Danio rerio: one gene and its partner. The protein of the gene in region 2 purifies or fractionates together with the protein of the main gene of each other region. This does not show direct contact. Links are inferred from orthologs where the notes say so. Each region holds a gene or a part of one and is shown on either strand. Other genes may lie near its edges.

Region 1 (3,829 bases), on a different chromosome or scaffold from region 2:
ATCAAAGAAATCTTAATTTGGCCCAAAAAGATCAAACATTGAAAATATGTAGTCATTGCTTATACATGGTTGACTGTGAAATGTGTCTATACTAGTGCCAACTTCTCCAGTCAGCAAAAGTCTGGGCAAACAGCGATCTGGGCAGAAGTCATGTAGTGTTTTTCAGCCCTTAGTAAGATCTGTAAAGCTGTATAATCTCATGAGCTGCTGGGAGACACAATTAGGATGAATGTTGGCCCAGTCAGAGGAGCCTCAACCATCTGCCCAAAATAATTCAACACACACCAAGAAGTGGGTCAGAACTCAGTCCCTCTGCTCTTGTCTCTGCTGGTCGAGCTCAGCTGCGATCTGCTCAGACTAAAACTATAAGCAGCAACAGCACTGCTTATAAATTGCTTTTAGTCATTTTGCTCTAAGCCATGTAACATTCTTCTCACGTGTTAAAGGTAGTCCATCAGCTCATTTTGAAGGATTGATTGCATTCATGGGGTGCGTTATGGTGTGTTTTTGTTTGAAAAACGTTCACATCTTTTACCCTTCTGTACTACATCACTTTTTGATTTTTTCCTAAAAAACTGACTGATGATTGCTATATTTAATCCGGTGTGCGTGTGTAGTAGCCTCAGTGTACTTGTTGAACTTTAAACTAGCGCACAGTTGGCACCTTGTCATAACTTTTCTGTGCAACAGAAATGCTGCTTAGAGAAGCCTTTACGATTAATTAACTGTGAAGAATTAAAGCGCAGTTAAATCAGCAAATCATTGCATCCCTATTAATAATATCAGTGCGTTTAACAAAAGGCATTTCCTACAAAACATATCCAAATGTTTTCGGCTGTCCCCACCACTCGCTTATGATGACTCACGCTCTGCGCCTCTACAGCTCGCGCTGTATTAAACAGACGCAGGTCACTTCATAACTATAGCGGCCGTTTTTCGACTCTACTAAATTTATTTTCGATGTCTTGGTCACACCATTTGGAAAGCCGGAACAAACAGCCTCGGGGGCCGGGTTCGGCCCGCCAATTGAATAGCCCTGCAGTAGAGCATTAATTAAATCCTTTTTTTCCCATGAAGCGAAACAAACTCTGCACTTGTGTAGCGAATGGGGACGCACATAAATATACAGTTCAAATATTTTTGTCGGTAGAAAAATATTTTTGGAACGAATTCAGTTTTGTACAATTTGTATCTTAATTTTTGTTGGTCAGTGATCTACAAAATAAACAAAAATAACGAATAACCTTTAAGATGAAGCAATGTGCCTTCAGGTCCGCTATATGCCACGGCCAAAACACAAACATTGCCTGCTAAAAAATAAAAGTGAAGTATTCAGTTTCGAATTATGTATATGTAAACTGTATCATCAAAATGAATTGAGCAGCCTATATCATGACTGTTTATGACATTCATTTATCGGTGTTCCGACCTCAAATGTCTAGGGCTGAGGTTGAACATAAATGTTAAAGAAAAAAAAATAAACAGTTGGCAGGTTATGATTTAAATGGCCTTAAAGGTTCTTTTATTGTGAGGAGGAGGAAAATATTGTATTTACAAGAAAAAAAAGAAATGAGCGCAAAAAAATAGCTCCAGGGCTGAGTAAGGCCAAATCAATAAACAAAATATTAGCTAACTTCACCTCGAAGATAACTTACCTAATGAGCCAAAAGAAATGCAGAACATATATTACAAATACTACCCTTAGCCTACTCCTTGACTAAACCAAAAACAGGAGAAAATGTCAGTTCAAAGTAAATGGGACTTAGCCTCTACGGCGCTCAGCTCACAGCTTTTTATACCATAGGTGTGTTAACAGTCACAACAAGGAGGGGAGAAGAAGAATGTGAAGAGCACCTTAAAATTCACAATTTATGATCAACAAGAAAAGCACTACAACAGGTTTTCAACAAGAACGCCACATTCTTTGAAAGCTCTCTGTCTCAGACTCTCCCCGCAATCTGACTCTTTTTCGAAAAATGCTGCGAAAGATGCTGCGTTCTCCGAGCACCAACCACAGTGCGCCCGCAGCACGCCCGATTAGGTTTATTGGGGTTACCTACAATGGATTAATACTTAATGCCCTGCTATGTAGTGCATGCATATATATATATATATATATATATATATATATATATATATATATATATATATATATATATATATATGCACGGTTAACGCTTGATTTCTTGCTTCATCACCGCGGTAACAGAAAATCGGTTACCGTCACAGCCCTACTGAAATCACAGGCAAATCGGTGCTTGACAATCACACAGTATGAACTATCAAAGACGTCATCTGAGAGAATCGCAGATGAGTCGCCGATGCCTGTGAGATATTTGGCATGCTAAATATCTGAACCTGTCGACGATTCAAATCATGTCGTGTGAAATAAGTTTTGGCTAGAATTAACATCGGTGATCGCCCATAGCCAACGCGAAAGCAGCATTCACTAGTGTGTGTTTACCTGCAGGCCAGCGGGAGGTTGAGGGAGAAGTTAAAAGTGCTTATTTTCGTTATATTTTGACCCAAGAAATGGAGGAAAAACTAGTGGAGGTTTGACAGGAGCACTGTGTCTGGCTGACGTTTAGTGCAGAAAGGTAAAAAAGAAAGTTGAGGAGAAATGGCTAATTCCCTACAAACCCAAGTAAGCAAATATGTACATTTTCTACCCCATTAAAGGCTTCTTTCTTGTTATGTAGTTAATAACAAAAGATATTCTATTTGTTTTTGGATGTGAAACGTAGTTTGGACAAAGTTGTCGGCGATTCTTCCTATTGTAAAGTCATGCATTTTGAAAGCCCCTTTCGCCGATCCATCTTCCAGTGTAAACATAGCAGCGACAAAACTCTAGCCCAGTTAGTCATGCAGTGTGAAAACATTTGTGACTGAACTCGGCATAACCAAAGATTAAAAGGTTTTCTGTCTTGAGGAGGGCCAAAATCTAATTTCTTTTTCTGTCTCTGTGTTTATTCTCCAGCTGAGTTATTTGACAGGCCTGAAGTGACAGACATCAAGTTCCTCTTTCTAGTGGGTGGATTCGCAGAGTCTCCACTGCTGCAGCAGGCGGTCCAGAACATGCTTCAGGGCCGCAGCCGAATCATTATTCCGCACGACGTGGGTCTGACCATCCTGAAGGGGGCGGTGTTGTTCGGCCTGGATCCAAGCATTATAAAAGTGCGCCGCTCTCCACTCACCTACGGCGTCGGCGTCCTCAACCGATTTGTGGAAGGCAAACACCCACCTGAAAAGATGCTGGTGAAGGACGGTATGCGCTGGTGCACCGACGTCTTCGACACGTTTATCTCTGCCGATCAGTCGGTGGCACTGGGCGAAACGGTAAAGCGCAGCTATACACCAGCCAAGCCATCGCAGCAGGTGATCGTCATCCATGTGTACTGCTCAGAAAAAGAGTCGGTCACTTTCATCACGGACCCAGGCGTGAGGAAGTGCGGCTCGCTGAAGCTGGATGTGAGCGGTACTGAGAGTCCAGCGGCACGCAGAGAGATCCAGACACTCATGCAGTTCGGAGACACCGAGATCAGAGCCATGGCTGTCGACGTGGCCACATCTCGCACTGTCAAAGCGAGCATCGATTTCCTTGGTCAGTAGATGAGGAAAACACACACTGCAGACAAACTCAGTATTTAGTCATGTTTTCCAGTCAAAAATCTTTAAATCATCCTCAAAACGAATATATATATATATATATATATATATATATATATATATATATATCTTTTTAAAATTTTTATTCTGGAAAAAGTTCATTTATCCAACAAGGATACGCTGTAAAAACCTAATCGTTTTTTAAAATATAATTTATAATAAC
Region 2 (3,829 bases):
AGTGGTTTCTTGGAAGTTTCAGAGCTGATGGGGTTCAGTGGTCTCAGATGTCCTTCTTTTTTTCAGGAATTTTAATGAGTTTTTAAGCTCCTCAGATCTTAGTCAGGGTTCTCTAGAGGTGGTGTGGGTGTGTGTATGGAATTGATTACCTTCTGCACATGACTTCAGAGAGAGTTTTGATTAGTTGTGAATGTTTATTAAGCTTTATGTATGGAGATTCTTATCTCAGTTTTTAATTACACTTTAATTTGCTTTAATTGTTTTGTGTGTGTTTGTGTGTATATATATATATATATATATATATATATATATATATATATATATATATATATATATATATATATATATATAGTTGAAGTCAAAATTATTAGCCCCCTTTCAAATTTTTTTTCAACCATCGTCTTACATTTCCTTGCATAATTACCCTAACCTGCCTTTAAATGTCACTTTAAGCTGTATAGTAGAGAAAATATCTAGTAAAATATTATTTAATGTCATCGATGCAAAGATAAAATAAATCAGTTATTATAAATTAGTTATTAAAACTATTATAATTAGAAATGTGTTGAAAAAAATCTTCTCTTTGTTAAACAGAAATTGGGAAAAAATAAACAAGTGGTGTAATAATTCAGAGGGGCTAATAATTTTGACTTCAACTGTATATACACATGTACATACATACATACATACATACATACATACATACATACATACATACATACATACATACACACAGCACATTGCAGGTTCATTGGATTTTTGCAATCTTAATGGTTTTTATTCACCACAATCCATTCTAAAAGTAGATATTGATAGTATCATAAACAAAATTTTGATTGTTCATTCAACCAGAGTCAAAGGGGGCAGTCACTAAAGTATAGTTATTTAGTGTGGGAGGTGGGGTAGTTGGCCTGGTGGGGGTCCGGCAGTCAGTCTACTGCTCATTCTTCCTGCAACTTCCCTAAACTCACAGATTCCACTAATGAACAGCCTGCATTTGCATGTAACAGCAAGGGGTAGGGGGTTGTTGACCATTACCTCAGACCCATCTCAACAAACATCCACCCTTCCCCCAGCTTTCTAGAGAGCCCAGCTATCAAACTACTGTGATTTCAGATGGCATCTGCCCCCACCCACCCACAGTTCTACACTTTAACAGCCACAACAGACACGCTATCAAATTCCTTGGCTTGAGTTTCCCCAATCTGAGACAAAGGCAAATGTAGGGCGACTGATGGCTTACTCATGGTCCCTGACCCATTTTGTCTTTCATACTCAAGTAAAATTAAATACACACACACACACACACACACACACACACACACACACACACACACTGCACAGACATGTCTCCAGCTGTGTGAGGCAACAGCATCATGTTATAGTTTAATGTTTCATTTTTCTAATTGTTACCTAACTTTTATTGCCCCTTAAGATACCGCCAAACTTTTCCAAAAGTTTTACAGCTTGTCCAGTAATCAGTCTTCCATATCATCAAGATTTTCTATCTGTCATTCTAAATTGTTTCCCATAATGCCCCTTTCCCATTTTACTGCAAGGATTTCATCATGGTAGTTTAGGTTCCAGGACAGACAATAGTGTGGCCCCCCACCCTTTTTAGCTAAAGCAGGAAAAACCAGGGGCCCGTTTGGAGACAAAGAGCACAACACAATACAGTCTTCCTAAGCTAAAGTTTAGAATTGGGTTTGGTCTGTGGGGGGGATGGCTTGTTGTTTTGTAGGGGGATGGGAATGCCATTGCACCCCAGTATCACATTGAATTGTGGTATTAGATTAGCGCCTCTCTACATTTATAGCATACTTTAAAACCACAGAAGAGCTATCTTAATTTAAACTTACTGAAGGTGGATAAGCTAATGTAAGATTGTAAATGCATTCTCCACTGGGTGACCATGGCACGATTAGGAGCATTGGTAGTTTATTCTATTTTGTTGTTTCATTGTAATTTTTTAAGGGTGGGGTAAGACTTTACCAGTCACATAAAAATATGATTATTTTAATATGATTTATAATTTTTCGTTTTATAAATCATAAGTTGTTTGTTTGGTAAATGTGTTTGCGTTATCTAGGCCTGTGTCATGCAATTGTGTAGGATGTCAAGTAATGTTATATCCATGCATTAAAAATGCTTGGAATTTGTTTTTAAAGTCACTGGGTGGGTTTCAGACCCCAAAGCAAGAGCAAGCAGAGCCAGATGTGAGCAGTCTCTTGCTAGGTTGGATGTCAAAGGGAAACTGGGCCTCTAGGAGGCCCACACTATATGTGAACATGACTCCCTGTTCCTAGACCCACACCCTCAAAACCAACCCACTCCTGTCAAAACACAGATAGACGAGGGAGGAATTTAAGACATTATAAATGTGTGTGTGTGTGTGTTTGTGTTTTTTGTTTATCCACCTGTTGTGCTTTTAGTTACATTTAGTTTCAGATGATACTGTGCTCACATGCTGATTAATATTAGTAAAATACTATCAAAAAAAGCCCCTTCGATATGAGTTTGCTGTGTTTTATTAAATCAGGTCAGTTTCATAGTCCAAAAAGTTTGGCAACATATCCTGCATAGCTGAAGCTTACTACATGGAAATTTCCCCTGTTTGCTTTTAAGTTAACTGTTGTCATCACCCCCGTTTTATAGTTTTGGTTAACATTTACAGGCAGGAGACCAGAATATGTAAACTTAATATCAGATTGCCATCATATGCCTGATTAAATCTGTAAGGGGGGAAATGTTTTTTTTGCAGGTTTTCCAGAAATGTGGCTCTGATTTCCTTCAAATGACACAGTCCTCCATCTTGAGTTAATCATCTCACTAGATCATTTATTTTGCTTTTATTATTATAATTACAAACCTGTTTTTCTAAACTAATTCTTTTTGTGGGTTGACTATCCACAAGAGACCAAACACACAGACGATTTTAAACACTTGGAGTGTTATGTTATTTAATAATCTGTTAACTTGATGATTCGAATGGTGACGACTTGATTCATTTTTTTTTAGATGTCCAATTAAGTATCATAAGTATAAGTGAATAAATTTATGCAAGCAATTTAATAAAATCTTTCATTTTTGTTTTATTTCAGTTGGTCAAACGGACACCATCTCCCCAAAAGAAGACAGCCCTGAAACAATAGAAGTGCACCAGGAAGAGGTTGCCCCTCAAATGAATGGAGAGAAGGGAGACGATTCTGCAAATGCAGATGAGATTACAACTGCTGAAGAGAAGGTGGTAGAGGAAAAACAAGAAGAGGCCAATGAAGTGGGCTTCAAGAAGATTTTCCGTTTCGTTGGATTCAAATTCACACTGAAGAAAGACAAGAATGAGAAGACTGAGCCTGTGCAACTGCTGACAGTGAAGGAAGCAGAGAGTGGTGCTGATGCAGCCACTGAGGAAAAGAAAGAGGAACCTGCAGCAGAGGAGGACAGGTCTGTGGAAGAAAAATCACCAGAAACCACAGAAAATGAGGCCAAAGCTGAAGAAGTAACTGAGAAGGCAGAGGAACCAGCAGAACAAACTGTAGTTGATGCACCATCAGAGACAGAAAAGGTCAGTGATATTGAAACTGAAAAACCTGCTGAAGAAACAGGGACAATATCAGAGAAAGAACCAGAGCCAGAAGTGCCAGCTGAATCGCCCACAAGCCCACCCTCTCAGGAGACACAGAGTCCCTTTAAGAGATTTTTTACTCAGGGAATCTTTTCTAACCTCCGAAAAAAGGCAAGCTTCAAAAAGCCCAAAGATGAGGAACATGTCAAAGAAAAGCCTGTGGAGGAGGACATTAAGGAAACTGAGGAAACAGCAGAGGGTGTT

The links.
Region 1: the proteins of akap12b (region 2) and hspa12a purify together in Homo sapiens (affinity purification with mass spectrometry; 3 studies listed by BioGRID and IntAct, with this or other methods). This does not show direct contact. The link is inferred for Danio rerio from reciprocal best matches to the Homo sapiens genes AKAP12 and HSPA12A.

The regions. Positions count from the first base shown.
Region 1 is NC_133192.1:22,603,240-22,607,068, reverse strand, and holds part of hspa12a (heat shock 70 kDa protein 12A), read left to right. Parts: intron 1-2,977; coding exon 2,978-3,609; 3' UTR 3,610-3,691; exon of another isoform or gene 3,692-3,719; 3' UTR 3,720-3,829. UniProt on the Homo sapiens protein: Adapter protein for SORL1, but not SORT1. Delays SORL1 internalization and affects SORL1 subcellular localization.
Region 2 is NC_133195.1:29,130,605-29,134,433, reverse strand, and holds part of akap12b (A-kinase anchor protein 12b), read left to right. Parts: intron 1-3,101; coding exon 3,102-3,829. UniProt on the Homo sapiens protein: Anchoring protein that mediates the subcellular compartmentation of protein kinase A (PKA) and protein kinase C (PKC).